2 linked regions of the Macaca mulatta genome follow. The protein of the gene in region 1 binds, or shares a complex with, the protein of each later gene. Links are inferred from orthologs where the notes say so. Each region holds a gene or a part of one and is shown on either strand. Other genes may lie near its edges. The genes, in order: POLE4 and POLE.

Region 1 (3,912 bases):
ACACTTAGTCTACAGGGTATACCTATTGCTCTCAGGCTACAGACTTGAACAGTATGTTACTGTACTGAATACTGTAGGCAAATGTAACATGGTGATAAGCGTTTTTAAACATATCTAAACATAGAAAAGGTAATGTATTTCATTAGGATGTTATGACCACTACCTCACTGGGCAACAGGAATTTTTCAGCTCCATTATAATCTGCTGGGACCACCCTCATGTGAGCAGTCCATGGCTGACCAAAATGTTACTATGCAGCACATGACTATATATGTGTAGTGAAGAGTAAGCTGATCAGATTTAAGAATTAAGTAGCGGCCTGGTGCGGTGGCTCACGCCTGTAATCCTAACACTTTGGGAGGCCGAGGCGGGCGGATCACAAGGTCAGGAGATCGAGACCATCCTGGCTAACACAGTGAAACCCCATCTCTACTAAAAATGCAAAAAAAAAAAATTAGCCGGGCGTGGCGGCAGGCGCCTGTAGTCCTAGCTACTTGGGGAGGCTGAGGCAGGAGAATGGCGTGAACCCGGGAGGCGGAGCTTGCAGTGAGCCGAGATCGCGCCACCACACTACAGCCTGGGCGACAGAGCGAGACCCCGTCTCAAAAAAGAAAAAAAAAAAATTAAGTAGCAGAAATAGCTCTGAGGCAAGGTAGCTAAAATTAGGTATTTCAAATATTTGCTTTTTTAATGAAAAAATTTAGTTAGTACACAAGTTAATCCATGACTCCTAAAAACACAGACAAGTCTTATTGCAGCAAAATAATCACTTCACACAGATTGTTGAAGAAAAAAGAACAAGCGGTCACCCTTTAAATGTTGACAATTGTTTCTGATCTCTAACATGATAAGAGGGGCAAGGCTGATATCTAGGTATGGCGAACAAGATAGGAATCAAACTTCTGAATTCATCTAACTACACTGGGATCTTTATATTCCCTCCTATTTCTTTATGGCTAGCAATTTTCAGGTAGAAGTTTTAATTCCCCAAGGGAGAAAACTGAACCTCATTTAGCAAGTTACTTTTTTCTAACAGCAAGTACGGAGAAAGAATTATCCCTACACAAACAAGAAGCAGGCATCCGTTTTATGAGGTTTTGAATTTCACATTAACATGCAAAAGACAGGTGGAAATGACTGCCCACTGAGAGAGAACTCACCTTCCAGAAAAGCAAATTCATCCACAGCTTCTATTGCATTATCTGAAACACAAGGCAAAGAGACACCTGACTAACTCCAGCCATGCTGACGTCAGTCAGAAAACAGCACAATCTACAGTGAAGGGCATGAGGCTTTGGGCAAATGAGGGCAATTATAAGATGCGTCCCTTGCTGCCTTGAGATCCGTATCTACTCTACCAGCAACTCTCATATATGTATTAGTTGTCTCCCTAGAAGAGTAAGAAAAGTGTAGGCAAATACCATTCAATGCGGGGGGGGGAGGGGGCTCCTAAAATACATCTAAATTATTTATTCGCTTTGCTCTTAAAGTTATCAGAGAAGAATGTGACAATAGACGCAGGGCGCATGAGAACACGGTATATGAAAGCTTACACAGGTGAGGGTTACCAACCAGACAAGAGTCAGAAATCAAATCCCCAGTTGCTAGGTGAAAAAGAATTATCTTTTTCTGGTGCAATTTGGCAGAAGGTATGAAGGGATCCAGTCCGCTTTGGCAACCCCAGACACCACACACTGCTCCACCACCCCAAGCAGAGAGCCTCTACAGGTAGGGCTTCCTGGCACTGTGGCCAACAGAAACCATCCTGGGGAGAGACGCTGTGGGACCTCTCAGATCAGAGTGACGTCTTCTCAACCTGCGCAAGGTAAAACCAGCCCAGCCCTCCCTTCTCTGTCCCCAGACACTGGCAGTGCCACTCTACCCAAGTCTCTCCTCTGAAGAGTTTTCCTTTTTCCCTGCTGAGCACAACAGTAGGCATCTTTTGCAATGGTCTCCACAAACAGTTCCTGTGAAGTAAAAAAGCAAAGTTTTAGTAATGGGTTCTAGCACACTGAGGAGGTGAGGGCTCTGGTTTGTGGGTGGGGGCAGAGAGGGAGAAGGCAGGCTCAGGGGCAAGAAAATGTTCTGGAAGCTAAGATTGTCCTGGACTTCATGAACATCCATTCCGCCACCCTCTTCCCAGGATTCTCCTTCATTCACTAAAGTCTCCTACAAGTTCTGTATGAGGCCCTGGAGATACAAATTAAAGTCACTCACTAACCAGGTCCTCAACAAGAGGGAGGAGTGTTAACAAAACACACAACTCGCATAGGTCCCCGGCCCCTTTCCTCCGCCTTCCGGGTCCACACCCACATCTCAAAACCCGGCCCACGCCACCCTAAGCCCCGCCCGCGGAAGGCCCCGAGGCTCCGCCCCGCGCTCCACCTCCCCCACCCCCGCGTGCCCTCGCGCTGCTGCCGCACCGCGGCTCGTGCCAGAATGAAGATGGCTTCCTGTCCGGCTAGCGTCACGTCGGGGTCCGCCTTCACCAAGGCCTTCACTCGCGCCAGAGGCAACCTCGAGAGACGAGCCCCAGGCACACTCGTTGGGGCTTGGGGCTGCAAGGCCGCTGCCTCCCCAGCAGGTCCCTCCTCCTCTCGGGGTGTCCCGCTTCCTGCCGCCGCCGCCGCTGCCATCCCGGCCCTGAGCGTGCTGCGCGCGGCCGCCGACTGTGCGCGCGCATGCGGCGCAGGCCCTTTCCCGCGCGGGCTGGAGGCCACACCCTGTGTAGGCGCGCGACTCCGCCCCTACGCGGCAGGGCGGTGCCGGAAACCGGGTGGGCTGGGACTGGGCTCCGGCTTTTCCCTCGCGCCTGGCCACCCTTGGGCTGTCGTGCCCTTGGTTGACGCTACTGGTGACCCTCTGGCCCGTTGGGCCTGTGGAGCCCAGGCACCTCCCCTTGGTGCCTGTGCCAGGCTGGTAAGGGGAGAAATCTAGACTGGGCTCGCAAGAGAGCCTCCGTCAAAACAATGTTAATACCCCAAGGCTAAGGAGGGCACGTGTCCGAGGGAGGCCCGGCCCTGGAGGTCCCAGCATCGTGGAAGAGGATGCCAGGGAGGCAGCGAAGTCTGGACCAAATTCAGTTATGGATGCTCTTGAAGGAGGAGTAGGGCTTTTGCAGGCAGATAAGAAGAAATTCAGCCCAGCCAGAGGAAACAAGAAAAAGTCATGGAGGCTGGAAAGGATGAAATTGTGGTTGTAAGGCATCCACGTTTGTTCAAAAACAGGTTGCATCACAGCTTTGGTTCTCAAATTTGACCTCAAGATACCTTTACGGTCTTAAAGATTACTAAAGAGCCCAAGTAGCTTTTGTTTCTGTCAGTTATATCAGTACTTACTGTATTAGAATTAAAGTTTTAAAATACTGATTTAAAATTACTAATGCATTACGAGCTAACAAACATTTTTATGACAAGAAACTTTTTTTAAAAAATGAATCTAGTAAGAAAAGTCTCTAATGTCTGATTTCATGTGAGAACTGGATTCTCTAGCTGCTTCTGTTGATAACGTTAGCACTTCTCAGGTAACTCTGAAAAACTACTGCATCTCCTTGAGAGAATGTGAATGAAAAATACAAATAACCTCTTAGTAGTATTAAGAAAATAATTTTGACCTCATGGACTCCTGAAAAGGGTCTCCAGAAAATTCCCACCCCCATGAATCCCCACACCACACTTTGAGGTCTGATAGCATAGAGGAACAGTTAATATTTACAATAGCTTTAATCTAAGTCAATCATAATAATAGTGAACCCCTTTGAGCATTTAGTATGTGCATGATTCAAAGTGTTTTACATTTATGTAAATCATAACTTCTGTCATTTTCACAATACCCTATATATTTTAACCTTATTTTACAAAATAAGCTTAACCTTATTATTGAAACCTTACTTGAAAACATTGAGGCGCAGAG
Region 2 (3,812 bases), on another chromosome or scaffold:
TCTTGCTCTGTTGCCCAGGCTGGAGTGCAGTGGTGCAGTCATAGCTCACCATGGCCTCAAACTCCTGGGCTCAAGCAATCCTTTCACCTCAGCCTCCTGAGTAACTGGGATCACAGGTGTGTACCCCATGACTGGCTAATTATTATTATTATTTTTTTTTTTTTGTAGAGATGAGTCTCCCTATGTTGCCCAGGCCTGTCTTGAACTCCTGGGCCTAAGTGTACCTGCTGCCTCCCAGAGTGCTGGGATTAGGGGCATAAGCCACCATGCTTGGCCCTCTTTTTTTTTTTTTTAGTTGGGGTGTAACTCACATCACATAAAATGCATACATCTTACCCTGAATTTTTTTCCTGTCTGTAGGATTATCATCCAAGCAATTCTTTATTTTTTTGAGACGGAGTCTAGCTCTGTTGCCCAGGCTGGAGTGCAATGGCGCAATCTCGGCTCACTGCAACCTTCACCTCCCAGGTTCAAGTGATTCTCCTACCTCAGCCTCCGAAGTATCTGGGATTACAGGCGTGCACCACCACGCCTGGCTAATTTTTGTATTTTTAGTAGAGACGGGGTTTCACCGTGTTGACCACGCTGGTCTCAAACTCCTGACCTCGGGTGATCCGCCCTCCTTGGCCTCCCAAAGTGCTGGGATTATAGGCGTGAGCTGCCATGCCCGGCCCAATCCAAGCCATTCTTAAAGGAAGGACTGCCCTGGTCATTGAAACCACCTCAATTTACCTTTTGTGTTTCCTCAGTTTGGACTCTGGTCTCATCTCTTGCTACTGATTTGGAACTCTGGTCCCACCTCCTCCAGACCCTGGCAGCTGAGTTAGTTGCTCTCTTGTTAATTCCTAGTGTTCTGCAGAGGGGTGGTGTCATTACTGATGAAGAGGAAACCTCTAAGAAGATAGCTGATCAGCTGGACAACATTGTGGACATGCGCGAGTACGATGTTCCCTACCACATCCGCCTCTCCATTGACCTGAAGATCCATGTGGTGAGTAGGGCAGGGTTGGGTTGCTGCTCACATGAATTTCCTAACAGCCAGGAGATGATCATTATGGGTGAATCCACACAGGAGTAGACTTTCCCGGATGTAGAACTCCAGTTAACACACTGTGTGTTTTGCAGGCTCATTGGTACAATGTCAGATACCGTGGAAACGCTTTTCCTGTGGAAATCACCCGCCGAGATGACCTTGTTGAACGACCTGTAAGTTTTGTTGCTTGTATTACCTTCATCATAAAATTTCTGGTTTTCTGGAGAGAATATTCTTTAGTGCTGAAGAGTAAATTTGACTCAAAGATATGTTTCCTGCTTTCCCCCCAAATACTTTATTAAAGGAAATATGGAGTTAGTTTTTCATCAGTTTCTGACAGTATCATGTCCTTTCTTGTTGTATATCACTGCATGACATCAGTATTTGAGCTAGGCAGGATTTGGACATTTGAGGGAAAGCTAGGACTTCCATTGGGTAGTTGATAGTGAAGAGACGTGGTGAAAAATGGATTTGTAACTAGAAGGCCTGGGTTCAAATATGACTTTGTGGTGTTGGGAAAGTCTTTGTATTCAGTTTTCTCTTTTCCGAAACGAAGATATCATCTCTGTGCCACATTTACCTTTCAGGGTTGTCATAACCATCAGAATGAGGTGATGTCTTCTGAAGAGTTTTTCTTTTTTTTTGTTTTTTTTCTTTTGTTTTTTGAGACGGAGTCTGGCTCTGTCGCCCAGGCTGGAGTGCAGTGGCGCGATCTCGGCTCACTGCAAGCTCCGCCTCCTGGGTTTACGCCATTCTCCTGCCTCAGCCTCCTGAGTAGCTGGGACTACAGGCGCCCGCCACCGCGCCCGGCTAATTTTTTGTATTTTTAGTAGAGACGGGGTTTCACCGTGGTCTCGATCTCCTGACCTTGTGATCCGCCCGCCTCGGCCTCCCAAAGTGCTGGGATTACAGGCGTGAGCCACCGCGCCCGGCCTTCTAAAGAGTTTTTCTACTAAAGTTCTGTGATTTTAGGCTTGTCCTGTGATCAGCTGCTCTCTTAGGTGTGTAAGTTTCCACACCATAGAGAGTCGTGATGCTCTTGACGTAGGTTGGTCAGTCTTAGGGTCCCTCTCCCAGCTCTGGAGCCTTTTCACTCTTAACAACCAGAGGGAGGTAGAGCAGGCCGGGGGCCGGTGTTCAGGGAGGCCTGATGGGGAGTTTAGAGCTTGGCTTTATGCTTATTTTGTCCCCACAGGACCCTGTGGTTTTGGCGTTTGACATTGAGACGACCAAACTGCCCCTCAAGTTTCCTGATGCTGAGACAGACCAGATTATGATGATTTCCTACATGATCGACGGCCAGGTGAGCAGGCGGCTTCTGGGAAGAAAGCTCCTGGGATGGGGACCTTGTCTGGTCCCCATACTACAGCAGCGTCTGCCCCACAGTTAGGATGTGTTGAGTGAATAATAAGTTAGTCCAGGAATGGGAGCAGCCAGGCCGTTCCGACTTCCAACTGTACCCTCTCCTTTCCAGTGGGAATCCAGACATGGAGGATCTCTTCTCAGGAAGCTTAGGGCACTTTCACGTTGCTGTGGACTTCTTTGTAGTGAGAATCTCTAGGCAGAGTGTGTGGGCAGGGTGGGGACACCAGGTCTTGGCTTTGCAGCCTCTGACTTGTGCTAATTGCTAATGAACTTCACTAGGGCTACCTCATCACCAACAGGGAGATTGTTTCAGAAGATATTGAAGATTTTGAGTTCACCCCCAAGCCAGAATATGAAGGGCCGTTTTGTGTCTTCAATGAACCCGATGAGGTAAGGAGGTATCACTTGTGAAACTGCCTGGTATTGTGGGAAGAAGGGGCATGCGGATCTTTCCAAGGCCTCGGCATTCCGTCGGATCAGAATTGCAGCTCCATCAGCTTCGTTCTTAGGGTATGACCCTCTTTTCTGCCAGAAACTGGGGCTGGGGTCAGGAATAAGGGCCAGCATGAGGCTGCTGCTTCTGAACTTTGGGGGAGGAATTTGGAAATAGCTTGAAGAAGAGAAAGAGCAGACCTCTGACTGCTGTGACTTGGGTTTAGGCTCATCTGATCCAAAGGTGGTTTGAACACGTCCAGGAGACCAAACCCACCATCATGGTCACCTACAACGGGGACTTTTTTGACTGGTGAGTCTGTGTCTTCTCTGTGAGTAACTGGGCAGCGTTTGAGAGGGAGGGCATTGCATGGTGCGGGGCGCTTCCCATGTTGACTGAGGAGGTGGCTTCTGGGTTCACTCTGCACCTCCCGTGTCTCGGTTACTCCCTGGATCTGAGGGAGGAATGGAGAAAGGGGAATTAGAGCCTGATCTTCCCACTTGCTTGTCTGTCCTCTTTCGAACCCAGGCCATTTGTGGAGGCCCGGGCAGCAGTCCACGGTCTGAGCATGCAGCAGGAGATAGGCTTCCAGAAGGACAGCCAGGGGGAGTACAAGGCACCCCAGTGCATCCACATGGACTGCCTAAGGTAGGGGCTGCACAGCAGCACGGCTCATCACTGCTGTCTGCGAGCGAGATCTGAAGGCCTCTTGCAGACTGTACTGTCACCACATCTCATGGGAGGAGGGTGGCCTCTGAGAGGTGTTTCAGGTCACCCAAGAGGATGGCAGCTACAACCCTGCCGGGGCCCGGGATGTGCTGTCTTTGACTGTTGGCTGACAGTTCGTCAGTGATCAGGCACATTGAGCATCAGCCTCTGGGGTGGGGTAGCCACCGGGAAGACACACTCAACGCACAGGTCCCAGAGCTAGGACCTCATGGAGCTGCACTGCCCAGGCCAGATTGGGATGTGGCAGCCCAG

What was found.
Region 2: POLE4 (region 1) and POLE share a complex: the UniProt entries of both Homo sapiens proteins name them as parts of the DNA polymerase epsilon complex. The link is inferred for Macaca mulatta from reciprocal best matches to the Homo sapiens genes POLE4 and POLE.

The regions. Positions count from the first base shown.
Region 1 is NC_133418.1:49,825,416-49,829,327, forward strand, and holds the start of POLE4 (DNA polymerase epsilon subunit 4), read right to left. Parts: upstream 2,664-3,912; 5' UTR 2,637-2,663; coding exon 2,424-2,636; intron 1,968-2,423; coding exon 1,883-1,967; intron 1,203-1,882; coding exon 1,161-1,202; intron 1-1,160. UniProt on the Homo sapiens protein: Accessory component of the DNA polymerase epsilon complex. Participates in DNA repair and in chromosomal DNA replication.
Region 2 is NC_133416.1:140,045,742-140,049,553, reverse strand, and holds part of POLE (DNA polymerase epsilon catalytic subunit A), read left to right. Parts: intron 1-849; coding exon 850-991; intron 992-1,125; coding exon 1,126-1,206; intron 1,207-2,228; coding exon 2,229-2,336; intron 2,337-2,677; coding exon 2,678-2,788; intron 2,789-3,057; coding exon 3,058-3,143; intron 3,144-3,359; coding exon 3,360-3,479; intron 3,480-3,812. UniProt on the Homo sapiens protein: Catalytic component of the DNA polymerase epsilon complex. Participates in chromosomal DNA replication.